Linked DNA regions of Danio rerio. The protein of the gene in region 1 interacts with the protein of each later gene in a pairwise test. Links are inferred from orthologs where the notes say so. Each region holds a gene or a part of one and is shown in the gene's direction. Other genes may lie near its edges.

Evidence for each region.
Region 2: the proteins of tfip11 (region 1) and lmo1 interact in binary tests that used the Homo sapiens proteins (3 or more experiments, as listed by UniProt). The two-hybrid records come from large-scale screens. The link is inferred for Danio rerio from reciprocal best matches to the Homo sapiens genes TFIP11 and LMO1.
Region 3: the proteins of tfip11 (region 1) and si:dkeyp-20g2.1 interact in binary tests that used the Homo sapiens proteins (3 or more experiments, as listed by UniProt). The link is inferred for Danio rerio from reciprocal best matches to the Homo sapiens genes TFIP11 and CCHCR1.
Region 4: the proteins of tfip11 (region 1) and snx20 interact in binary tests that used the Homo sapiens proteins (3 or more experiments, as listed by UniProt). The two-hybrid records come from large-scale screens. The link is inferred for Danio rerio from reciprocal best matches to the Homo sapiens genes TFIP11 and SNX20.
Region 5: the proteins of tfip11 (region 1) and mettl17 interact in binary tests that used the Homo sapiens proteins (3 or more experiments, as listed by UniProt). The link is inferred for Danio rerio from reciprocal best matches to the Homo sapiens genes TFIP11 and METTL17.
Region 6: the proteins of tfip11 (region 1) and gps2 interact in binary tests that used the Homo sapiens proteins (3 or more experiments, as listed by UniProt). The two-hybrid records come from large-scale screens. The link is inferred for Danio rerio from reciprocal best matches to the Homo sapiens genes TFIP11 and GPS2.
Region 7: the proteins of tfip11 (region 1) and sfr1 interact in binary tests that used the Homo sapiens proteins (3 or more experiments, as listed by UniProt). The two-hybrid records come from large-scale screens. The link is inferred for Danio rerio from reciprocal best matches to the Homo sapiens genes TFIP11 and SFR1.

Annotation. Positions count from the first base shown.
Region 1 is NC_133198.1:20,764,276-20,768,280, reverse strand, and holds the start of tfip11 (tuftelin-interacting protein 11), read left to right. Parts: upstream 1-1,205; 5' UTR 1,206-1,258; exon of another isoform or gene 1,259-1,351; intron 1,352-4,005. UniProt on the Homo sapiens protein: Involved in pre-mRNA splicing, specifically in spliceosome disassembly during late-stage splicing events. Intron turnover seems to proceed through reactions in two lariat-intron associated complexes termed Intron Large (IL) and Intron Small (IS).
Region 2 is NC_133182.1:28,158,742-28,162,241, reverse strand, and holds part of lmo1 (rhombotin-1), read left to right. Parts: intron 1-2,397; coding exon 2,398-2,611; intron 2,612-3,500. UniProt on the Homo sapiens protein: May be involved in gene regulation within neural lineage cells potentially by direct DNA binding or by binding to other transcription factors.
Region 3 is NC_133180.1:24,151,352-24,154,851, reverse strand, and holds part of si:dkeyp-20g2.1 (coiled-coil alpha-helical rod protein 1), read left to right. Parts: intron 1-1,746; coding exon 1,747-1,841; intron 1,842-1,929; coding exon 1,930-2,044; intron 2,045-2,130; coding exon 2,131-2,241; intron 2,242-2,326; coding exon 2,327-2,467; intron 2,468-3,500. UniProt on the Homo sapiens protein: May be a regulator of keratinocyte proliferation or differentiation.
Region 4 is NC_133200.1:38,550,685-38,554,682, reverse strand, and holds the start of snx20 (sorting nexin-20), read left to right. Parts: upstream 1-1,198; 5' UTR 1,199-1,306; intron 1,307-3,732; 5' UTR 3,733-3,767; coding exon 3,768-3,873; intron 3,874-3,972; exon of another isoform or gene 3,973-3,978; coding exon 3,979-3,998.
Region 5 is NC_133177.1:40,850,728-40,854,227, reverse strand, and holds the end of mettl17 (ribosome assembly protein METTL17, mitochondrial), read left to right. Parts: intron 1-191; coding exon 192-260; intron 261-371; coding exon 372-422; intron 423-542; coding exon 543-635; intron 636-2,564; coding exon 2,565-2,764; intron 2,765-2,906; coding exon 2,907-3,003; 3' UTR 3,004-3,104; downstream 3,105-3,500. UniProt on the Homo sapiens protein: Mitochondrial ribosome (mitoribosome) assembly factor. Binds at the interface of the head and body domains of the mitochondrial small ribosomal subunit (mt-SSU), occluding the mRNA channel and preventing compaction of the head domain towards the body.
Region 6 is NC_133180.1:24,722,553-24,726,052, forward strand, and holds part of gps2 (G protein pathway suppressor 2), read left to right. Parts: coding exon 1-18; intron 19-131; coding exon 132-244; intron 245-1,765; coding exon 1,766-1,845; intron 1,846-1,949; coding exon 1,950-2,029; intron 2,030-2,174; coding exon 2,175-2,349; intron 2,350-2,435; coding exon 2,436-2,519; intron 2,520-3,500. UniProt on the Homo sapiens protein: Key regulator of inflammation, lipid metabolism and mitochondrion homeostasis that acts by inhibiting the activity of the ubiquitin-conjugating enzyme UBE2N/Ubc13, thereby inhibiting 'Lys-63'-linked ubiquitination.
Region 7 is NC_133188.1:27,958,567-27,962,673, reverse strand, and holds sfr1 (swi5-dependent recombination DNA repair protein 1 homolog), read left to right. Parts: upstream 1-1,307; 5' UTR 1,308-1,468; coding exon 1,469-1,555; intron 1,556-1,724; coding exon 1,725-2,051; intron 2,052-3,226; coding exon 3,227-3,414; coding exon of another isoform or gene 3,415-3,418; exon of another isoform or gene 3,419-3,557; coding exon 3,558-3,561; 3' UTR 3,562-3,585; coding exon of another isoform or gene 3,586-3,761; 3' UTR 3,762-3,847; downstream 3,848-4,107. Other genes in the region: cfap43 (cilia- and flagella-associated protein 43), read right to left, coding at 3,586-3,761. UniProt on the Homo sapiens protein: Component of the SWI5-SFR1 complex, a complex required for double-strand break repair via homologous recombination. Acts as a transcriptional modulator for ESR1.

The DNA of each region.
Region 1 (4,005 bases):
AAAGGCTAAAACAGGTGCAAAAACACCCTGAATAGAATAAGCAACATTTTGATAATAACCAGTACAATAAACAATATTTCCAGGACCACCTAGACAACCAGTGTTTAGTATCAGACATGCACTTTTAAAAGCAGTACTAACCCGTCTCAGCCTGGGGCTGCTGCATCTCCTGCTCTGTAACAGGGACAGTTTCTGTGGCTTCGCCTGGCATTCTGGACTAAAACAGAAATGAGAAACAATACATTATAAGCTTTACAAAGTCTGCATGAAGGTTTAGACATGCGTTAGTCAGTGCTTTGTGTTAATGAGGCTTTTTCTATTGAAACAGCAGCACTCTAGGCCTCTTCCTGTAGGCCTCTGCTGGCTGTCAGCTGTCCCACTACCGGCTCAGTTAAACACTGCTGTTGTCTCAAAGTATTGAGCTACATGATAACATTTCACAAGGCCACCGAACAGAATTTGTGAGCTTTATCAATTGCAAACAGGCAAACTGAACAAATAAGGCTTATAACGTCCCCAAACAGTTCCACACACTGTTCATGTGTGCGCGTGCACTGTGTTGCACATTTCACGTGTGTATCTTAACAGAGGAGCTCTGACACGTTACTGCTGAATGAAAGAACCTCATTACACAAATTACAATAAAACTTTTTTAAAGAAATGAGTTTATAATCCTTTATAATGTAACGTTAGGTTATACTGTTGACACAGCATGCGTTTTTAGAAACGTTACATGTTTAGGCAGCGAAGTTAACTATCCAGCCAGTGTTTATTGTCGCACGTCACGCAACAACCTTTCGTACGATTAAATTACAGATTTCTCACAATATATCGCTATAGTTGTATATAGTGCAACTTTTTGCAGGGTTAACATTTTCGTTAGACACAAAGCCCACGGCTGAAGTATAGCGAGCGGTGGTGCGTCTCGCTCCCCCATTTTGAACAGTCAGCCAGTTGTAATCATCAACATATTTCCTCAATAAGCCAAGCAAATTTACAAATCTTTACCATTCCAAACACAGCTACACTAAAGCATCAGCATAAGCTACAAATTATGTATTGAATTGGCTAAAGCAACGTTGGATGACAATAGATTTTACGCAGGAGTACTCACTAGTTCAGGGCACAGGATCCAAGATGGCTGTGAGAGAGGGTTTCTGACCTCTGCGTCACTCTGATGTCACTGCTCTGCTTCCGGTCCCAACAGGAAGTCACTGTCGGATAAGCTGAAGTCTATAACAAGAAACCACATTTTCAGGTAATTCTGTCTACACACTGTTATTTTTAAACACAATAGTTTATTTCAGAGTTGACCATGACGGAATATTGACAATACCTGATTTAAGGGAAGGTATGTGTCTTTGTTTACAACAGAGTGGCATTGCTAAGCTAACATGATTTTTCTGGGAAACGTTTGCTTCACGCACTCTAAGTTACTAATCAGTTTTTGTCATCCGAGAACAGGGTCCGTGTATCATCCGTTCATTTGATTATTCCTTTTATTACGGAAAACGAAACATCAGAAAAACGATGAATATTTCGTTTTTCTGTTTATTCTGTAGGCAGAAAAAACGGAAACTCATCTGTTATTCTGCTTATTAACTTAAAACGAAATATTAAAACAAACACAAAACCAAAACGAAATAATGAGTCAAAAAATGGTCCGTGTACATTTTGTTCATTTTTTTTCCAGTTTCAAACGGAATAAAGGAAATGGAGAAAACTGCCGTTTTTCCGTTTTTCTTTTGCTCACGAGAAAACGAAAAAACAAGATTTTGGCTGGATTTTCGTTTTTTGGTTTAGGGTAGGAAAACGGATAAACGACTTTAAAATTCATTTTACACATGTAGGCGGTGCTGAAACGCCCACTTTCCTCTAATTGGTCAACCAAATCTGCGCTCGTGACGTCACCCTCAAAATAAAAGCCTTACACGCAGGCTTTTAATTATTATTATTTAATTATATATATATTAACTAAGTTTACAGATTCTATCATTTGAACCACACACATTTAGCAGGCTTACATTCATTGCGTATGTATAAATTAAATAAAAACGTAAATCAGCAGTATTCTTAGACATTTGTCATTAAAATAAGGTCATAGTTCACTGCCAAGCTTCTTGCTGCTGTGCACCTGATGCAGAGCAAAGATAGCCATTTCCGAGCAGCACCTGGTTTACATGATTGTTTCAGAGCTATTGTAGGCCTAAATAATAGCCTACTCTGTATAAAATAATAATTTATTATTATTATTATTATTATTATTATTATTATTATTATTATTATTAGGCCTATTATTAGCAGTATTGTTATTATTATTATTTACTTAGTTATTTAATGGTTGTAAGAACACAATGGACCCTGCATGGGGCTATAATAAATGGTACCTGTTTCTATTGGATTTTCTCCTATTTTAATTTAATATGTGCCTTTAGCCTATTGTAAATATTTATTTGATAATTAATACTTTTTTATTGCAACGTCAAAGTAGGCCTGTCTTATTATTATTATTTTTTGTTATTATTTTGTCGTTGTTGTTGTTATTATTATTGTAGCAGGGACATAGCCACAGGTGTGGCAGAGTGTGCTGGTGCCACCCAAAGTGGCATCTTGCACCTGAAAATAGATGCCTTCGCACTCAAGCACGCGCAAAAAAACTTGCACAGGCAAAAGTAATGATGAATGTGTTGAAGGAAAAAAAAAACATTCTAATTATTTGTTAATTAAATAGTGCAACATTATTCTCAGTCAGTGTAGGCTGAAAAAATTAAGATCGCCAGCATTTCAAGGGTGGTTTTATTTTTAGTTCATTGCTGTGACGCGCTATATTTCACTAAGGCTACATGAGACTGCGCATCTTGCTTATTTTCTCTATTTTACATACAGAACATATCATACAGTCCAGGTTCTACCGTTCTAGTGAGTGTGGGGCATTGCTTTACGGTGGTAAAGTGGATTATTTCTTGGCAAATTCATAATGATTCACTTTGTTTAGTAATAAATTTCATAGTTATAAAATAACTACATTTCAAGAATATGTTAACACTTTCAACTATTTAGGATTATTTATTGCATCAAAAGTAATTTCAAAGTAACATTAAATGTACGTATAAACTGCTTAATTTGTGTGTGTAAACACCTAAGATGCAAAAAGCTTATTTAGACCAGAATAGGCCTACTAAATGCAACGGTCAATGTATGTAAACTTATGACCTAAAATGTCTTAAATGACTAAATGTAAGTCTTTTTAAGTTTTTAAATAATTTAAGTTTAACATAAATGATTTAAACTTTAAACTTCAAATTAACAGAGTATGGCAAATAAATTGTTTATTAAATGGAGGTCAGGTGTCTATCTTAATTATAATTATTAAATATTATGACACTACAGTGGTGTATTGGAGAGTACGCACCTTTTAATTAATTAATTTTAAATAAGTGGTTTATCCTAAATAAAATGCAATGGGATCGGTGTGCAATGAATAGTTTGAAAACCCCTGGTTCAGACTAGACGAGCTAGCTGTCTGTGCGCTGCGCTAATAACTTGGCATTTGCTCTTTTCGGTGCTGCCAGATGCATTTATAGTGCATAAAAATAAAAAAGGTAATTCGGTAAAGCGCGCGATGCGCGCAGAAATAAGCGCACTATATGCATATGTCGAATTAAGTTCTCTTTTTCTTTAATCAAGACTTTTCCATTCGAGGAATTACAGTTATTAATAGCTTAATCCTTATAAACGATCAGTTTATAAAATACACAATTTACGGATCAAGCCTAATGAAGAATAAGAAGAATATGCAACGCATTATGATCCTTGAATGATCAGAGCGCATTTATATAAACTATATATTTTATATATTCCATAAATATTAAAAAACATTATACATTTAAAGTAATAAAACATTATATGTTATAAAATCTAAACTATTATTTAGGCTACAGGCTGTTCAGCGCGTGCGTCAAAGAAAAGACATGACACAATCTCTATAAAAACTAGTTGTTTATT
Region 2 (3,500 bases), on another chromosome or scaffold:
TGTTGACAACTTTTCTTGGAGGGAAGTTGTTGTCCATACACTGAAAACCCTGGACCTCAGTGTCAAAATAGAATCTTTGTAGTCATTTCTGACAACATTTTGATTTCATGTACATTAGGGATGCTCATTCGGTAAATTTTGCCAACTCACAACTGCCGCTGGTTAACCGAATATTACCTGGTCAGATTAATATTGAATTATTATTTAATTAAAAATAATAATGGACGAGTCTATTTTGTGTCTGACATTATAGATATTGCATAAAAAAACAGATTTATTTGAACATGTGAACAACAGCATACAGAACATATTAACAACAGCACATCACCTGCAGTGTTTCAAACAGCACAGAAAACATTCATTCATTTTTTTTTGGCTTAGTTCCTTTATTAATCAGGGGTCGCCACAGTGGAATGAACCACCAACTTATCCAGCATATGTTTTACGCAGCAGATGCTCTTCCAGCTGCAACCCATCACTGGAAAACACCCATAACTTCTCATCCACACACATACACTACGAACAACTTAGCTTACCCAATTCACCTATACCACATGTCTTTAGACTTATCACTCTTTATGAAAAATATGCATTTAATCAACGGAAACCCCGCCTCTGCTTTCATTTGATTGAAAAATGGAAAAGACGCAACTGACGTAACACGCTTTTTCCACTCAGAGTTTTTTCAATTGCGGGCACACAGAACGCAACGGCAAAAATACAATGTGCGCAAGGTGCCACAAAACGCTCACAGTCTTTAGTAAACCATTCAAAAGATGCCCCTCTCAATGCACAAAGCGTGTTTGCTGTGATCGTCCCCTTGTGCACAGGGGCCGTTTCTGGTATCTGGCTGAGATCAAGACCTTTTATTACGATTGGCTAGCTAAAGCGATGTACTCCTAAGAAGGGAGTGATCACCAGAAAAGGGAAGTCCTAGAGTAAAATGAAAAAATATGATACACCGGGGTTGTGGAATATGGAAAAACTGTCTCCACACGGTTTGCGTCTGTTTTTATATTATTTGTTTCTATTTTATTTATACTTGTCTCTTTTATTTCGGTTTATGTAAAGCACTTTGAATTGCCACTGTGTATGAAATTTGCTATATAAATAAACTTGCCTTGCCTATGCAGCCATACTTTAAAATTATATATATATTTTTTTATCATTTAACTGTTTGCGTGGAGAGTATTTCTACACTTTTCTGTACTATACAACTGTAAAATGGCTAATGCTTGAATGAAAAGCCCTCTGTCCAGACAGGTCTGACTCCATTCAGGACTGGGGGCTTTTAATGGTTTGACCATCCGGGGCCCGATATATTGCTGAATGACGGGGGGAGGAGGCACGAGGGAGGGGTGTCAAAGGGGGCATCACACAGGGCTTTCTGAGAGAAATGTGTTTTGAAAGCAGAGAGCAAAAGAGAGGTATAGAGAGAGGGAGAGTGCCGGTTTAGCTGTGCGTTCTATTAGACGGATCAATAGCTCAGTGTGGGAGAGAGTGTCTTAAGAGCTGTTGTCCTGCGCTTTCAGCTGTGGCAGACCTGTTAGTGCTGGCAGAGGGGTGCCGAGTGCCAGTGTTACCAGCTCTGGCCCGGGGGCGGCTTTTAGTCCACACACAAATGTCAGACCGCAGATAGACTATTAGTGTTTAGTGCAGTTATTAAATGGACTTTATTTGTCCTTTAGGAGGCTAAAAGGCATGCTTAAAGGGGGGAGGCTACATGACAGCGCGGCAATTTAGCCGGTTTGGTTACTCTTCGCTAGTCGCAATGCAGCGAGCGCGAGTGTAAAAGGAGATCAGGCTTTAGAGTATGTGTGTGTGTGTGTGTGTGTGTGTGTGTGTGTGTGTGTGTGTGTGTGTGTGTGTGTGTGTGTGTGTGCGTGTGTCTGGAAGGCACTTAGGCCATAGCGTATCTCACTGGAAGCTGAGAGCAGCCTTCTTGTGGTCAACAGTGCTCTAAAAGGTTAATGTTGATCTATACCAAACAAAGCCCACGGGAGGCTTTTAGCATGGCCAACAGTTCTCATGCTGATGAAATAGGGCCATGGGTAATCTTCCAAACAACATAAATACCTCTGTCAGCTATCTAAATAGAGATGGTCCTAGGGCATCCTGACATAGAGATGCATTCAAACCCCCATTAAACGGGTGCATGCCACTGGCCAAAAATAACATCTGTTCTTTTGAACGGGGGCAGTAACAGATGAACACAGTCCAAAGTGACCTACGCGCCTATCTGCCAGGAAGAGCATCCATGGCTAATGCATATGAAACAGCGGGCCGAGCTTCAGCGGTGTCGCCACCCTTATCAAAGAGCGCGGAACATGAAAAGTCGCCGGTTTAGCCAGGCAGTAAATCACAACGCTCTCTGTGTTTGTCTCCCTATCGCCACAGGTGTGCCGATGCTCTCCGTCCAGCCCAAAGGAAAACAGAAGGGATGCGCCGGCTGCAACCGTAAGATTAAAGACCGCTACCTGCTCAAGGCCCTGGACAAATACTGGCACGAAGACTGCCTGAAATGTGCCTGCTGTGACTGCCGCCTGGGGGAGGTGGGCTCCACCCTCTACACCAAAGCCAATCTCATCCTCTGTCGCAGGGACTACCTGAGGTAAGAACACGCTCCAGTCAAAGTGCTGCCAAAGCAGAAAGGGCTTGTTACACCTCAGGCTGCATGACATTCAGAAAAGTACACCCTCATCTAACAGCCAATGATTGCCACCCTGCCTGTCTCGTTCCTGGCCCTGTCCTCTCCCTGTTGCGTTTATCTGCTAACTTGCAGGGTTAGAAGATAATACTTTTTTTTAGCTTGTAAATGATGTTTTCTTTGAGGCTGTTCCAGAAGATAAAGTGCTTGTTCTTTCCTCATCGCAGTGTAGCGACCAAGACTCTGTGTGTTCCAATTAAATCCCACTCGTGCAAATAGCTTGGAGTGGCATCTTTTAGCGGTTGTTTATGTTTAGAAAGGTGAAGTTGCACTTGTTTACATAAATGTGACGTGTCTCCCATTTTCTAAGTTGAGTGATAAAACGTTGTGTATGAGTGCATGTATGGACCTTCAACTCACCCCAGGCAGCTAAGTGGCAGAACCGCAGGTCTAAGGATCTGTTTTGCCTCCTATCTCTGAGCCATCTGCTTGCTAAATTAAACATGATTATTTCCTGGGCGTTAAATCCCAGTCCCTGGGGTCTCCCAACCAGATCCAGTCATTTATCCCCAAGCTGCTCTCCCCATTGAGCCCCCACTGCTGAGGCCCTTCGCAGTAAGACATGCAGTTCAGCACTGTCGTCATTAGGACTCTTAAAGAAACAGTTCACCCAGAAATAAAAATATCATCAGTCACATTCATGTATTGTAGTTTTGAAGTAGTATGACTCATGCTAAATAACATTAAGCCATCCTGACTGCTACTGTATGGAGAAAAATAATCTAATCTTGTGTTTCCGAAAAAAGTGATACAGATTTAATATGAACCCGAGTAAAATATTAAATTTTTTTTT
Region 3 (3,500 bases), on another chromosome or scaffold:
ATGATATGAATCACTGTAAGAGTCTTTTCATAAACTTACTCAGTAATTTATTGCTTGTTGTGAACAATTCATCTTTTTTATTACTCAACAGATATAGCAAATATTTTGTGACTTATATATTATCATAAACATTTTCTACAGAACATCCATGTCCCCAACATTTAAATCACCTTTTCTTTTCTTTGTATATAAAATTGTACAAGCATATTAAATTGATAGTAGGTTAACTGATCTATAAATTTACATATGTAAATATTTTATATTTTCAGAAAAATATTAGTGTAGACAAGCTCACTGGCCACTTTATTAGGCACATATTACTACTACCGCACTGGACCCACTTTTGCCTTCAGAGCTGCCTTAATCCTTCATGGCATAGATTCAACAAGGTACTGGAAATATTCCTTAGAGATTTTGGTTCATATTGACATGATAGCTCATGCAGTTGCTGCAAATTTGTCGGCTGCACATCCATGATGCAAATCTCCCGTTCCACCACATCCCAAAGCTGCTCTATTAGATTGAGATCTGTGACTGTGGAGGCCAGTTGAGTACAGTGAACTAATTGTCATGTTCAAGAAAATAGTCTGAGATGATTTATGACATGGCGCGTTATCCTGCTGGAAGTAGACATTAGAAGATGGGTACACTGTGGTCATAAAGGGATGGACATGGTCAGCAGCAATAATTAAGTAGGCTGTGGCGTCGACACGATGCTCAATTGGTACTAATGAGCCCAAAGTGTGCCAAGAAAATATCCCCTACACCATTACCCCACCACCACCAGGCTGAACCATTGATGCAAGGCAAGATGGATCCATGCTTTCATGTTGTTGACGCCAAATTCTGACCCTACCATATGAATGTTGCTGCAGAAATGTTGCTGTGAGCCTGTGTGAATTGTAGCCTCACTTTCCTGTTCTTAGCTGACAGGAATAGCACTCGATGTGGTCTTCGGCTGATGTAGCCCATCCGCCTCAAGGTTGGATGTGTTTTGTGTTCAGAGATGCCCTTTTGCGTACCTCAGTTGTAATGAGTGGTTATTGTTGCATTTCTATCAGCTGGAGCCAGTCTGGCCATTCTCCTCTGACCTCTGACATCAACAAGGCATTTGTGCCCAAAGAACTGCCACTTACTGGATATTTTCTCTTTTTTGGACCATTCTCTGTAAACCCTACAGATGGTTGTGTGTTAAAATCCCAGTAGATCTGCAGTTTCTGAAATATTCAGACCAGCCCGTCTGGCACCAACACCTTTCTCCTCCTTCTGATGCTTGGTTTGAACTGCAGCAGATCATCTTGACTGTGTCTACAGGTCTAAGGGCATTGAGTTGCTGCCATGTGATTGGCTGATTAGAAATTTGTGTTAACGAGCTGTTGGACAGGTGTACTTAATAAAGTGGCTGGTGAGAATATACAGGTACCTGTTTGTGTCTATCATATAATTTTTTAGCTATCAATAACAATAATCAAAATACTTATCTTTTTCTTCATTATACAATTTTTAAGCAGTGCTCACAATAAATATTCATACATATAAATTAATAAATAACATATAAACAAACAAATATAATAAAAATATTTCTACTTCTGAGATCTTGTCTTTTTCTTTAATGCTACGCACGATTCTTTTACATAGATAGTTATCACATAAGGACTATTAAAGTACTTAATTTTCATTTTCAATCAAATTCGATATATGACATCAAATGCAAAGCTCCAATTATTTGTATTTGTCTCTAATTAGAACATGATGACGGATACTGTACAGGAAGTGACCTCACTGAAGACCCAATTACAAGAAGTAATTTCAGAGAGAGATGAGCTGAGAAATCAGCTGAGGTCAGTATTAAAAGCATGCTGCTGTTTTTAAATGAGAAATAATTTACAGGTCTGTTTATGTGATGCCACATTATTTGTGTTTGTCCAGTGTCCTGAACAGCTCATTGCTGGAACAGTCAGAGAGTGTGCAGAAACTGCGCACATACATTGGCAGCAACATCCCAGAGAAAAAAGAAGAGGAAGAGCTTAGACGCCAGATACAGGTACAGGGTGCATTGGAATGCCACCAGCTTATGTAAGTTGCGGTGCTTGCATTAATATTTTGTGTCATATTTGTGTATGTGTGCAGCATTTGGAGAAGGAAAAGGAAGCCATGTCTCTATCTGTCCAACTGCTGAATGTCAGAGTGAACGCAGCCAATGACATTCTAGCCATTCAGGAGAAAGAGCTAGGTGAACAGGTAGGGTTGCACACATGCAGAGATGTGTGTTTGGTGTTTGGATGTTTATTTAGTACATTTGGTGGTACTTCTACTATGTGTGTAGGTGCAGATGGACCCGTTGTGCTCCGGCAGTAAAGCTGGGCAGATGTTGAGTGTTTGGAGACAAAAGGTCTTTGTTCTGCTTGTTAAACTGCAAACCCAAGACTTACAACTCCACACGGAGAAAACACAGCTACATGACATGGTAATGTAAACACTGATCCAAGTAAATCTATGTAATTTCATAAGCATATTTAATTCAATTCACCTTCATTTGTATAGTGTTTTTACAATGTAGACTGTGTCAAAGCAGCTTCACATAAAAGATCAAAGTAAATTGAAATAGTGTAGTTCAGTTTTAGTAGTTCAGATCCCGAAACATGCAATCTAGTGGCGACAGTGGCGAGAAAAAAAAAACTTTACCAATTGGCGAAAGTGTAGAAAAAAAAACCTTGCCAGAACCTAGCTCAGATGGGCACGACCATTTCTCCTCTGGCAAAATGCCTTGTGCGGAGCTGCAGTCTAAGCGACGGAGTCTGGAAGGTGGGCCTCAGCAAAGACTCGTCTGTCCCTGGAGCATCACAAGAATCGGTCTCATGCTCTCCACTCCTCCATGACCACAACAGCAGCTGCTCAGGATACGGCCTGGTCCAGGATATGGAAACCTTAGAATCATATTTATACTTCTAACCACTAATGTCAATAGCTTGCTTTTTTTTATTTGCTCATACCCATAACCCTGCCCCCAAACCCACCCCCCCACCGTTTTTTTTTTTTTTGAGAAATTATTATTTTTATGCAATGAGCATGCATTGATAGGATTTAATAAATGGCTAAAAATACTTTTTATGTTTAGCAAGAATTAATTCAATTAATAAAGAATTTGTTCATCAAAAAAATTGAAAAATGTATAATGCTCCTGACACGTTAAGCAGATCCTTTGTTTTAAAAAATAAGAAGAGTGCTTAAGCAGCATATAAGGGTTTGATTTCTAAAAGATTATGTGACACAGAAGTTCCGAGTAATGACTTCTGAATCTGAAATCCAGAAATCCGTTCTGGAGGGCCGGTGTCCTGCAAAGTTTAGTTTCAACCCCAATCAGACACACCTGGGCTAGTTAATCAAGCTCTTACTAGGCTTTTTAGAAACATCCATGCAGGTGTGTTGAGGCAAGTTGGAGCCAAAATCTGCAGGACGTCGTCCCTCCAGGAAGGAGTTTGGACACCCCTGACATAAAT
Region 4 (3,998 bases), on another chromosome or scaffold:
TGTTTTAGCATGTTTTAGCTTATTGCTGGTGTGTTATTAGCATGTTTAGCATTTTGCCATTGTTATTTAGCATGTTTTAGCACATTGGTAACATGTTCTTGCATGCTGCTGGTGTTGCTAGCATGCTTAGCTCATTGCTGGTGTGTTTTAGCTAATTTCTATTAACAATATTAACATGTTTTAGAATTTTGGTAACATGTTCTTGCATGTTGCTGGTGTTGTTAGCATGTTTGGCACATTGCTAATATGTTTTAACATGTTTAGCACATTAACAGTGTGTTTTAGCATGTTTTAGCTCATTGCTTGTGTGTTATTAGCAAGTTTTAGCATATTGGTAACATTTTACTTGCATGTTGCTAGCATTATGTTGCTAACAATGTTTTAGCAGATGTTAAAAGCATATTTAAGCACACTGCTAGAATGTTGAGGCCCATTTAATTCACAAAAAGGCACAAAAAACCTTGATCGGATCTTGATCTTTGTTAGTATTATTTTATAGTGTTTATTATTAATAATTAAATATAACAATATTAATATGATTGATAGAATATTGATATATTTAATTAGCTTTATTTTTCTTTTTTTTAAGTAGGTGTTACTACTTCAGCCTATCAAGGCTTATCAAGGAACGCTTTTTGAAGTTGAAGTTTAATTAATTACATTTAATTCGGCCTTCATTACAATTGACAGATTCACTCCGTAATTGATTTAGTTGGCTTTCAAATACATATTGCTATTTGCTAATAAACTTACCTTGTATATATTCAGTGAGTAAAATATAGTCCATAAACAAGTGCTTGACATATCCTGCCATTTACATTATAGTAATTTACTCTACAGCGCCATCTACTGGACACCTTTGAGATTTACATGTATGAAACCAAAGCCATACTTTGGTGGTTTACGGTGTGAAGGACGCTGTAACAGTGATGAGTAAATGTAAAACACCCTTGATAAACTGTTTAACATGCTATAAATGAAATATACTGTTCAAACTAAAGCAGTATATGGTGTAATAGGCACAATAGTAACACAATGTGCCTAATATAACATGAGTATGTCATCATTTCCCTATTGTATCCAGAGTGTAAATTATTGCACAAAAACCAATGAAAAATGTACAAAGTGCAGTCAAATGTGCGTGAAAACAACACTCCCTCTTTCAGGTTTCACTTCCTCATGACCAAACTTCAGCTTCAGTCAGCATGAAAAACAGAAGCAGGAACAGTAAACATGACCTCTTATAGAGACACAAGTGAACTTACACTTTCAACTTCAGCAGATTATTCGATGTCTGTGTGCACAGGTGAGTCAGTTGTTTTTTAATATTACCAGTGTGTTGTGCTGTAATATAAACACTTTTCTTAAAGTTGTTCTTTTGTTTCTTAAATCAAGACTTGTTTTCTGGTAAAAAAAAAATATAGTTTTGTTTTCAGAAATATGTCAAATTTGGATGACTTTCTAGTTGATCATTTAGTATCAGAAGTGGCTTAAATGAAAGGCAAAGGCCTCTAGATGACACTTATTATACCACAATAAAAGATGATCATGCCTTGATTTTGAATGATTTCATTAGGATAGAAAGATGACTTTGCTTAAACAAAAGTCTAGATCAGGAATAATGTCCAGTATAGAATATAAAGTCCTGCTGCAGTGGAGACAGAATGAATATTGTGTCTGACTCCATCATGAGCTTGGAGGACTGCATCCATACATCTCTGACATGACTCAAATCACTGATTAATAAAGTCATCTGGAATGGCAAAGAAAGCGTTCTTGCAGGACTTCCAGAGCTCATCAAGATTATTTGGAAGCATCTTCAATGCCTCCTCCTTCATGTTACCCCAGACATGCTCAATAATGTTCATGTCTGGTGACCGGGCTGGCTAATCCTGGAGCAGCTTGACCTTCTTTGCTTTGAGGAGCTTTGATGTGGAGGCTGAAGTATGAGAAGGAGCGCTATCCTGCTGGAGAATCAGTTCTGTGGGTGCAAATGTCTTGTTGATGCCGGAGGTCAGAGGAGAATGGCCAGACTGGTTCCAGCTGATAGAAAGGCAACAGTAACTCAAATAAGCACTCGCTACAACCGAGGTCTGCAGAAGAGCATCTCTGAACACACAACACGTCCAACCTTGAGGCGGATGGGCTACAGCAGCAGAAGACCACACCGGGTGCCGCTCCTGTCAGCTAAGAACAGGAAACTGAGGCTACAATTCACACAGGCTCACCAAAACTGCACAATAGAAGATTGGAGAAACGTTGCTGCTCTGATGAGTCTCCATTTCTGCTGCAGCATTCAGATGCTCGGCTCAGAATTTGGCCTCAACAACATGAAAGCATGGATCATCCTGCCTTGTATCAGCTGTTCAGACTGGTGGTGGTGGTGTAATGGTGTGGGGGAGGTTTTCTTTGGGTCCATTAGTACCAATTCAACACCACAGCCTACCTGAGTATTGTTGCTGACCATGTCCATCCCTTTATGAGCACAGTGTCTCCATCTTCTGATGGCTACTTCCAGCAGGATAACACACCATGTCATAAAGCTCAATCATCTCAGACTGGTTTCTTGAACATGACGATGAGTTCACTGTACTCAAATGGCCTCCACAGTCACCAGAGCTCAATCCAATAGAGCAGCTTTGGGATGTGGTGGAACGGGAGATCAGCATCATGGATGTGCAGCCGACAAATCTGCAGCAACTGTGTGATGCTATCATGACAACATGGAGCAAAATCTCTGAGGAATATTTCCAGCAGCTTGTTTAATCTATGACACAAAGGATTAAGGCAGTTCTGAAGGCAAAAAGGTCCAACCCGGTACAAGTAAAATGTACCTAATAAAGTGGCCAGTGAGTGTATATGCTTTATATGTTTGTTTCTAGAAAAAAATAAGCTTTTCTAGTCTATTAAATACTTCTTCATTTAAGAATTTGTAGATATTTACTAGAAACAAGTAAAACAAGCATTTCTGGTTGCAGTGAGTGATGCTAGATTGCCAGTGGTTGTATTTTCTGTCATCTGCACAGCATTGCCACATTTTCTTTAAACCATTTCCTTTAGAGATCTAATTTTGCCCAACTTCCTGAGGAAGTGCGGCACTTTACCTTTCACCGCATGGAACTAATGTAATGTGTAAGTTTAACTTTTATTGCATCAGAAAGTACTGAATGAATTATTATTATTGTGTTGTTGAGCGGACTAACATTTTTCTTGAGGAAATGCTTAAAAGGGTCCTATTTTTACAAGATGTAAAACAAGTCTCTGATGTCTCTAGTGTGTGTGTGTGTGTATGTGTGTGTGTGTGAGGTTTCAGCTCAAAATACCACACTAATAATGGTGATAACTCTCGGAAACTGACCCTTTTAGGCTTTGATCCTAAGTGTGTTTTAGTGACTGTCACTTTAAATGCAAATGAGATTGTGCTCTTTTCAAAAGAGGGCGGAGCTATAAATGCCTGTGTGTCAGCATAGTGGCAGATTCAAATACAAGACTGATGTCATATTCTTATAAGGGAGAGATGGTCACTAGTGGGCGGGGCTTTCCTCTGATGACACGTACAAAGGGAGCATGTCAATCAAAGTGTTTCTGCAGACTGCTTTCATCAAGTGCGATTATAATAATTACAATTAATACATTTTTTATCATTGTAAGCTGCTTATATTCACAAACAACTGTGTTTAAAGTGATTTTTTTCAATATGGGCACATAATATTTCTTATTTTTGCATATTAGATTTCCTTACAGAGAGCTAAAATTATCAGATCTTCATGGAGGAAGAGGAAAAACCACCCAACACCACTGCTAATCACACGGTTTCATCAGCTCCTGAGCATTTATCACCCCACCAGGAAACGTTACAGGGTAATGGAGAGTGTAAGTTGATTCTGTATGATCATGAGATCAGATTTTGACGTGATGTCCTCTGGGTGTGTGTTTAACGCATCAGACCTGTGTTGATGTGTGTGTACTCACCGGCAGCTGCAGAGGATGATCTGTGT
Region 5 (3,500 bases), on another chromosome or scaffold:
TCATAAAGCAATCCCTTGGTTAATATGCAGTTACTATGGCTTACTAGTATTAAAAAAAATACTATGGCAAAATACCTATTTAAAATAATTTGTTTATTGAAATCTGGGGGGAAAACCCTTTTCTACTTAAATGATGTGTAAACTATTGTAATTGTTATCATTCTTAATGCAGTTCTTGGTATTTTGTACAGGTGTTGGTGGAGAATGGAACCAAGGAAGGTCATCAAATCCTTATGGAGGCCAGAGATGCTATACTAAAGGTTAAACTGATATTTTTTTGTTGTTAAAACATGACTTTCCATTTGAATAGTAGTAATACAACCTATGCATCCTTCAGAAGTACCTAAACGTGTCTGATTTTTCTATTGTAGAGAGAAGATGAGATACTGCATGACCCGAGGAGACCATCTATATTTGCTCCTGTGCGTTAAAACATCAAAATAACTTATTTCTGAAGTTTATTCTTATTTTTTCATCTTTAATAAGATATATTAAAATGTTTTATGCTGACATTGTCATCTGTATGGTTTCAATTTGGACAGTGCACGCACGAGCTGAAGTGTCCTAAGTTAATCAGGCAACCTGTGGTACCTTGTAACTTCTTCCAGTTCTACTACTCTCTGCCTCTATCACGGGTAAGTCCACAAATTTAGTTTCTGAATTGTGACAATCACCTCGAATGACTGAATTTCAGTTCAGTTGTTATCATGGCATGGACATATTTGAGGTATTTAGACAGTAGTTAAAGAGATAGTTCACCCAAAAATGAAAGTTTACTTAACATTTACTCCCCCTCAAATGGTTATAAATGAGTTTCTTTCTTCTGTTGAACACAAATGACGATATTTTGAAGAGCGCTGAAAGCCTTTAATCATTGACTCAATGAATCATTTGATCATTGAAACAAACACTATGCAAGTCACTGGTTAATCAAACAGTTTTGGAGCAAGTAAAAGATGAGTAAATGATGACAATTTTTGGGGGAACTATCACTTTACGATGATAGTTTATGAAAAAATAAGTAGGATAGGATAGGATCGAGTTTAAACAAAAAAAAGGAAAAAGGTGCTACAACGTTGCTCTAAGCAGACAACAAAATAAAACAAACAAAAGAATTAAGCAAAAACAATTAAGAACATACATTGTTTACAAAATAAGACCATATATAAATATATAATATATAAAGCACAGAACACAGTTAACGTACTACAGGTGCTCTGTTCTTGGTAGAGTTTTATCGAGGTAGGAACAAACGAAAGCGTTAATCTATTGGTTTTACGCATTGGCATTCTCAGTCTTTTTCCTGAAGATAGCAGCTGATATTCACTGAAAAGAGGATGTTTGGAATCAGCACTAATATTTATTGCTCTTCTCATGACCGCCTGATCATATAGAGTCTGTATGGGCTCATATTGTTGCATTCCTATCATTTTCATGGCTGCTTTTTAAATATAACCCAATTCATTTTTAAATCGAACAGAAAGATTTCCAAACCAGACTGTGATTCCATTGCAAATAAGACTTTCAAACATAGCTCGGTAAAAAATAAACAAGATATTGCTACCTACCCCATACAATCAGCATTCTTAAAAAATAAAGCCTCTGTTGTAGTTGTGTGCACAAGCTGTCAGTGTGTGTTCTCCAACAAAAAAACACTGTCCATATAGAACCTCAGATATCTGTAAGATGTAACTTGCTGTATCACTGTGTCTTTAATGATCACAGGCCTAAGTTCAGATACACTTCATTGGTCAAGGACCATTTCTTGTGTCTTTTTTACATTTAACACAAGACAGTTCTTGTCACATCACTGAACGAAATTAGCGATTTCACTGTGGTAGTATGAAAGGTCCATGTCTTTGTGTAAAAGACTTAGGATGGCAGTATCATCAGCATATTTCATAATATAAATAATAAAATGTGTGCTTCTGCAATCATTTGTGTACAAAGCAAAAAGGACAGGCGATGAAACACAACCTTGTGGCACTCCTGTATTTCTATATCTAACCTCAGAAAGTATCCCATTGACCCAGACCTGCTGAGCACTGTTACTTTAAAAAGAATTAAACAATATAATTCAGAAAGTACTGACAGCCATGTAATGCGACTTCTCTAAAAGCAGATGTGTCTGCACTGTATTAAATGCTGAACTAAAATCAACAAATAAAATATGAGCATAAGCTTTAGTATTTTCAAGATGCTTGGACACAAGATGAACAATAATGCTAAGAGCGGCATCCTCAGTGCTCCTGTTCTGCCTATAGGCAAACTGACATGTGTCTAAGAGTGGCTCTAGCTCTTTTTCCAGCAATGTGGTTTCAAATGTCCCAAATCTCACTTCAAAACATTAAAAAATGTATATAGGCCAAACTACATCGATACCTATGGCTCCTGGCGATACACTGATATCTTATTAAACATAACCAGGTTCCACGTAAATGCATTCATGAGAGAATGGGACACATTTTTCGTGTCACATAAAGATCAATACACATTTTTGGGAGAACTAGGCCTTTATAACATTCCTCTTTTCTTTATCCCTTTATATGAATCAACTGTCACAGAGCCAGGAAAGGCAGCAGGAGAGGTTTAGTTACCTGATTGTATCCCGTTCAGATGGAGAGAAGGCTCAGAAGGCTGAACATTGGGACATGGCTAGAGTGATCGCACAAGTCCATCGCCGACCCAGACACGTTCAGTGCCAGCTGTGCTGCGTAAATGGAGAACTCAAACAACTGGCTGTGACGGCCCGTCGTCATGGAAAGTATGGGACGCTTTCCTATAATAGATCTCTGCTATTTAGATTTTCAGTGAATGACCTTGACTTGTATTGATTCTAACAGGTTATGCAGGTGCAGTTCATTCTGGTAGTTGGCTTAAGGAATTTGTATTGTCTATTTTAACAGGGACATGTACAGATGTGCTCGTAACAGCGACTGGGGAGATCTGCTGCCAGTCTTTCATAAAGAAGATGAGCACACTATTAATGATGAGACGGAATGAGACCTGCGAGAAATCTGTTCATGCAGCGTGTGTGCAGTGAGGTTGTTTTGTATAAATGTATTGCTTGTTTGCAAATAAAATAGTTCTTGTATGCAACATGATATCTAAATGTCAGTTTTCATGTTATTTTTGTTTTCATGTTAAAAAGTTATCCCAACAGAGGTTAAAAGGCTATTTTTAAAGTCCCAATGAACCAGAAGCTGCAAACTGTGTTTTTTTTTTTGTGTTGTGATGATCACCATTTTAGTTTGTTGTCAAAACTGAGAGCTGGAGATGTGTGGTTTAATATATTAGCCACGCTCAATACCTAATATATATCTAATCTGACAATTTAACTGAAAAAAAATGTAGTTTCAGATTTCAATTAAAGATTAGAAGGGCAAACTATTTTTATTTTCTTAATGTCATGCACAGATGAATTGTTCACCACAAAACTGCCAATGTGAGCTAACAAAATCATATGGTTGGTTTTGATTTCTTTGGGACTTTAAGCATAT
Region 6 (3,500 bases), on another chromosome or scaffold:
GAGGAGACTAAAGAGCAAGTAAGTCTGTATGATTGGCTCATTTAAACATTGGGAGTTATTTGCAGATATTGTTGCAGGATTATTGTTCAGGAGTCCTCAGCAAGCCTTAATTTCTTTTGTTCTGTCTTTAGATTATGAAGATGGGAGTGAAGCTGCAGGGCCTTCAAGAGGAGAAGCACCAGCTTTTCTTACAACTGAAAAAAGTTCTACATGAAGAGGAGAAAAGACGTCGGAAAGAACAGAGGTAAATATTTAAAAAAACACACACACACTATATACAGCTGTAGGCAAAATTATTAGCCCACTTGTGAAATTGGAATTGCTTTTTAAATATTTTCCAAGAGCTGTTTAATTTTCTCAAACACATTTTAAATCATAATAGTTTAATAACCAATTTAATGTTGTTTTGCCATGATTACAGTAAATACATTTTCACTAGTTATTTTGCTAAATACTTGTATTAATTCTAAAGTGCAATTTAAAGGCCTAACTAGGTTAATTAGGCAATTTGGCTTAAGTAGACAAGTCATTGGTAAACAGTGGTTTGTTCTGTAGCCAATAAAAACAACATTTTTAATAGCCTAATAGTATTGACCTTTTATTGAGAATATTGACCAGTTTGAATGTTTTAGTTTAATCCCAGTCAAACAAAAAAAAACTAAGACTTTCTCCAGAAGAAAAATATAATAGGAATTACTTTGAAAAATGTTTTTACTCTGTTTAACATCACTTGGGAGATACTTGTATAAGAATAAAGATTTCACTGGAGGGCAATTGAGAAAAAAATGTATATACATTTTCAGAGGAGAGCAAAGGAGAAAAAATAAGAGAACACTGAAATTTTTTTAAATTTTTTTATTGTATAGTTTTGCGTTTGAGTAAAATATGTAATTTTTGTTATATTTTGTGAACTGCTAGTGCTTTGGTTTGTATAAACAAAAAAGAAAGATGCCATATTTTCATACTACACATGTACTTTCAGACTACACAGTACCAGTGTTTTAACTTCAAGATAGATATGAAATCAGTACTTGGTGGAATAATCCATATTTACAATCACAAGAATTTAAGAATTTTAGTTTTAAAACAGCGTATGAGAATGAAAACGATCTGCATCTACACTGGCATTTCACCTAGCGTTTCTGAAATGATCCCCATCCACAGTTCACCTCTGAAAACATGCATCACATAACCACACACACTCTGCCATGCTCTGCAGCTTTTCAATTTTTCTATTTTAAACACAACAAACAAAACCTGTCGCACACATACATTTAGGTTGTATAAAAATATATAAATAATATTAAAATAAACTACTAACATTTTACTCTTATATAAAAGGAAAGAAAAGAAAAATAAATTAATAAAAAAATAACATGTTGGCGCAGCGGTGTAGTGGTTAGTGCGTCGACACATGCACTCCGGTGCTCGCGGCGACCCGGGTTCGATTCCGCCTTGCAGTCCTATGCCGATCCTTCCTCTCTCTCTGCTCCCTATGCTCTCTACTGTCCTATCAAAAAAATCAAGGTGAAAACCCTGAAAAAATTATTATATAAAAATAAATAAATAACATGGAAAGGTTCTAATCTTCTAAAATAATTCAAGTGTCCATCTTTCTTGTGATCTAAAACAGGTTAAACATTGGTTATTCTGAACTGTACTTTTCTGAAATTAAAAATGCTCTAAATCACTTTTTTAAACTGCAAGACATGTTACTTTTAAATGAATCAACCAAATAATATACAATTCTTTTGTTTGTTTACAGTGACATGACAACCCTGACTTCAGCCACATACCAGGCAAACATGCCTATCCACCCTAGCCAGCACATTCTTAGCATGCAAGGTGACCTTTATTTATCATCTTTAGTGTCATTTAGACTATTTGCTTTGTTTTATTTATTTTAAAATGCCATGACTTGATTTTGCTCCATGCTTGTTTCCCATCAGCGGGTCAGGTGAGTCATGGCCGTCCAGCTGTTCTGCTTGGGGAACGCAGTAAACAGCTCTTCCAGTCTCCGGTCATTCCTGTGAGTCAATGTAGCCTAAACTGTTTGTACCTGCAATGTTCAAACCTATATACATTTAGTATCGAGAGTCACCTGGTTCAGTTTAATCTCACAGTTGTTTTATGTTATTGTCGATCTGTGTGCTCATCTCCTACTGCTGCCCAAGGCACGTCATTTCCAGTCTCAGCCAGGATTTAGTGCAGGTGGATCAGAGCACGGCCAATATTCGGGAGCGCAGCCAGGTCACAGCCCGTATGGAGTCACCCAGACGCAGCATACATCACCTTTTGCCTCCAGTCAGCCTGTGCCAGCCAACTATGCCAGTAGTTCACAACTAAGAGGTGCCTTGCTTGTATTATTTATGTTTTTGTTGTTGTTTTATGAGAACATGGTATGAATTTGGGATGTTATGTCTTTCTGTTTTAAGGTGCATCAGCATTCCAGACCATGCAGTACCTGCCCCATCAGCAGCAAGGCTATGCAGTTCACAGTCACTTCACCTCTCAGCCAGGTGTGTGTATAGCAGAGGCTGGCAACCTTTTAGGCATCAAGTGGCTATCACTTTCTTACCTGGGTGTGGAATTTTGCATACCATTGTGAAGACCTTCTTTTATGTCTAGGGGTTTTGTTCGGAGGTGTTACAAAGAAGACTAAAATTGTTGGTAAATAACATTGAATTATAACAAAAAAAGGAAAACATGGAGAACACACTTCAATCTTCAGCCCCAGAGTAAAGAGTCAGCACAATGTTTTAGAAAAAATAAACAGCAGAATTTATTTAAAGGGGTGGTACGATGTCATACTTTAAACTTTAGTTGATGTGTGAACATAAACAACATCTCTGAATGAAATACACTGAAAGTTCAATGCAAAGGGGAGACATTGGCTTTTACAGAGTTAGCTTAGCAAAGCCTACAGCGAACAAAGTTTGAGGACTACAAAAAATACATCCAGGCTAGTGAGATCACAAACACTTCAGTTTACGCACCACTGCACTCTGCGCAGTGAAGGCACGTGGCCAAAGGCATTGTAATGTTATAGCAGAGAAAGCTAAAATGCCGTCCAAACACTGCTTTACCAGGCAGCTTGTTCTGTTCCTGTATTTGGGCTACTAAAGGACACGACACAAAGAGAGAAGTTCTTACAGTTTATTTTAATTATGTTCCAGAGAATTAAAAAAATATATAGCTAGCATTTGTGGGTTGCTTTGAATTGTTAGCCACAACCTGTAAGTGTTTTTATTTGTTAAAATTGATCAATTATATGCATTGTTTCAAGCGTTAAGGGTATGTTACAGCAAGAACGTAAACAAGGATGTAACAACAGGAAATGCTGTTTGGCATTATTAACTATTCAGCTACAAATTCATATTTTTCCATCAAACCGCTGTAAACACCCACAATTTTCAGCAGCGCTGCAGTGTCTTTCTATGCGGTGCTTTCCCTGCGTTCTACATCTGAATATGTGTGAAAGACACTTGTCAGATCTTACT
Region 7 (4,107 bases), on another chromosome or scaffold:
TTGTTCATTCATTCATTCATTCATTCATTCATTTCATTTCATTTTCGGCTTGGTCCCATTATTCTTGAGGGGTTGCCACAGTGGAATGAACCACCAACATTTCCAGCACATGTTTTTTTACACAGCGAATGCCCTTCCAGCCGGAACCCAACACTGGGAAACACCCATACATTCTTGCATTCACACACATACACAACGGCCAATTTAGCTTATTCATTCACCTGTACCACATGTCTTTAGACTGTGAGGGAAACAGGAGCACTCAGAGGAAACCCACACCAACACGGTGAGAACATGCAAACTCCACACAAAAATGTCCCAGCCAAGGCTCTAATCAGCGACCTTCTTGCTGTGAGGCGATCATGCTACCCACTGTGCCACCGTGACGCCTATCCTTGTCTTTTTTTTTTTTTTTTTGGCAAAAAAATACTGAACTGCATTTTCATTTTAAATTTCAGTTCCATCAAATGTTACAAAAGCAATCCAACAATGCAAAATGTTAATATTTTATACAAATTTTCAAGATTATTTAATTATTATTGGCAATATGCATCAATCTTATAAAGCATATGAGCCAAAACACTGAACACTAACGTGGAAGTGAAAATAAGGCATGGCTATTAGCAGTGGGACACAAATAACAGTGTTACTTTCGTCGCCACAGGAACTCTTGCCATTTAAACCTGCTTTACTTTTAAACTGAAAAACTTAGACATTGCAAACTGAAGGATGTGTTATTGCACTAAATAACCTGTAGATTGGTCATTACCGTAACACATGAAAAGAGAAACACAACTTGTAATGAGGAAAAAAGTAGCATACACTAATTTTCTTTTTCCACTTCAAAACTGAAATTTAGACCAAACTGCAGGACAAGGTCGCAAAATCAGCTGATATTTGTCATCTCCATCAAGGGCTGCATGCTAAATGTGCTGTTATAGCCTGGAAATCAAATGTAACAATGCTTTTGTTACCCACTCTCCGCTACAGTTTCTTCCTACAGTTTTATAATGTAATTGTCTACCACGCTGTATAAAATATGTCTTAAATCAGCAAGCTATACAAAGATAAAATGGCTGTACTGTGCTAGTTTGTGCATTGAAACTGTTGTCTCACAAGACTACACTCAATATACATATAACGAAATCCCTACAAATTAAAGGACAGCAACTTTCCTTTATTTATGTGGCCACTAAGATAAGTTAAATTCATTATAACTAAATTTAGAGCAAACAAAATACACTAATAGTTCTTTTAGACTACATTACCCATGAGTCTTGTTAATAACAACGACGCAACAAGGTCCCGGAAGTGACGACGAAACAAATGGCACCAGTTTCAAAACAGCTGTGTTCACTGACAACTTTAGAAATGGAAGATCATATTCGCACAGAACTGCTTTGGAGAGTACTAAATCACAAATGATAAAGTTATGTAGTCGTTTTTTTCTTTTCGTATCTTGTAAAACATGGAGACAACCCCGATAAAACCAACAGCAGCTGATGAAACTACGCCAAGCGCCGAGCAGTCTTCAAACAGGTCCAGTACTGCAAAGGTAAAGCTTATTGTCTTTTTGACTTTATACGATATTTGTTTTCACATAAACTAACATTAGCGAAAAAGATAGATCACTTTTTCTTTCTTACATGTTATTTTTCGTCGAAACATAATTCTGCTGCATGTCTGAGCTTTCTTTTGATCATTGTTGACATTGTTTTCTTCAGCCCATGAGTGCCTCGCTGAGGGAGAAGCTAAAAAGATCTCGACACTCGTTCAAGTCTCCCCTCAGTGTGGTAAAACGACTCAAAATAGAGGATGACACTGAGCCTCAGCCTTCACAGCAGGGAGAAGAAGAGAAACACGGTGTCAAAGACGACAGAGACTCTAACGTTACAGAGACTGATGTCAACAGGAATGACATGAAGCTGCAGAGAGACTCGAACCACACAGCTGAGCTCCCCAGTCAGCAATGCGAAGCGCTGAGAAAAGCGGTGAAGGAGAGAACAGAAACCTTGAGGAGATTAAAGATGGTCAAGATGTACAGGAAAAAGGTAAATATAAATTCGTAAATTATGGCTGGGAGACAACAACAAAAAACTAATATAATGAAAATATAATATAAGTCATCTCATATGTTGATATATGTATATATGCCTTTTTGTAAGTTCTGTAAAAAATTAGAAAATTAATGGAGTTTCTAAATTGACCACTTGGAATTTTAAAATTACGTTTTTATTTTAATTTCTATACTAAAAAATTCTATATGTTTTTTAAATTTTATCCCTTAATTTAGAACTCGAGGGACACGAGAGAAGAATGTAGAAACTTGAAATAAATATTAATGAAATATAAGTCACTTTTCAAAAACTAATGATCGCAGGCACACCATAACAATATGCTTAGATATATTGAAAAATCATTGTTATTGCAGTAATAGTATATGCAATATCCAAATCTCTTGCTGATATTCTCTTGCTATATTCTCTAAGCACTAACTGTTCCTTTGTATAATTAGCCCGTGCTGTATGTACTGCCTCGTACTGATGATTTGCCTCAATTGTAAGTCACTTTGGACCAAAGTGTGTGCCAAATGACTAAATGTATATCACAGGGAAGTGCAATAAATTAAATTACTTTTATGTTTTTGTATTTCATAGAGGCCTTAACTATCTTAATGCCCACCTTTACAGTAGGTGAACCTAGAGCTGAAAGTGAATATTAATGCTGGGAGACAAGATATTAAATTGACAGCAGCCAATGAGAATCAGAACTCCAGCAGTGGTTTTCAGTTATTCAAGGTGTTTTAAAGTCTAAATGTTTGAACCTTGACACATTTTTTTAAAATTGGCTCAAAGAATCATATACCTGTCTATTTTAGTATAATCGTAGAGTAAATAAATTATTTTTGTCAAAAAAATTGCTAATAAAAAGTTTGTTATATCATAGGAAATATTGTTATTGCAACACTCAACAGTACCATCGCATATTGCATATTTTCTCCAGTATCGTGCAGCCATAATATAAAATATATTCACGTTTCATCCAAATGGTGAAAAATGATTACATGCAAACATTGTATTTTGAGATGCCACAAACTAAATGACAGAGTCTAATATAAAGCGATACTTTTTATTTTGTACTTCTGATGAATATCACCATAAGTAAGTAAATGATTTATTTGTGAGCGAAGCATACTGCTCTTGAAGCTGTTTTTCTCTCTCCACAGAATGACTTGAATGAGTTGCAGAGGCTCACAGACAAATGGAGATCCTGTGCTCAGTCTGTGCTGTATGAACTACAGAGAGAACTGGCCACAGGTGGAAAACAAGCCAGTCTTTCACAACTTATTGACAGCTTTGGGATTAATGATAAACTACTGCACTTTGATAGGACAGAGGAAGACTTCACAGACACGTGAATACATTTCAGCAATTTTTATTCACAGTTCAAACAGATTGCAGCGAGCTTTGTTCATTAAAACGTTTGCGAAGAAAGATTGTCAATTGATTGAACTGTATAATAATTTATTGCACCTTTGTGTGTTGTTTATTGTTTAGGTAAAGTTGTTGCGTTTTGTATGTAGAGTCAGTTGTAGTGCAGTTGCGAGAGAGACGGGAAGTTCTTCATGCGCAGTTTCTCCAGCTCCGCTCTCAGCAGGAGCAGCTCTTCAGACTGAGCTCTGGCGATGGCCAGCAGCTTCTTTCTCAGGAGGATGTCCTGGTAGTTCTTGTCTGACTCTGTTTCCTGGTTATCTTCCATTGCTGGAAAAAGAAAATGTTATCAAATTTTGTGAGCTGTTCAGGCTCCTATGCATTTTTAGCACCATTAATAAATATGGATAAACAGCTATGGTGAGTCCTAATTCATCAACCATAGGCAGAATGTACAAATCGTTTGTTATTAAAAATATATTTTTCTTTAATTCGATATACTTCTGTTCATAGGGTATTTTTTAAAGAGTTCTTATTTAACTTATAAACATTAATCAGTAAATGATGATCAATATATAGATACACAATTTGTTTATATGAAGGCCAAGCTGAATAACTCCAGTAGTCAAATTATTCATCAAAAAAAGCATTTTTGAGCAGTTTAATCAATCTCTGC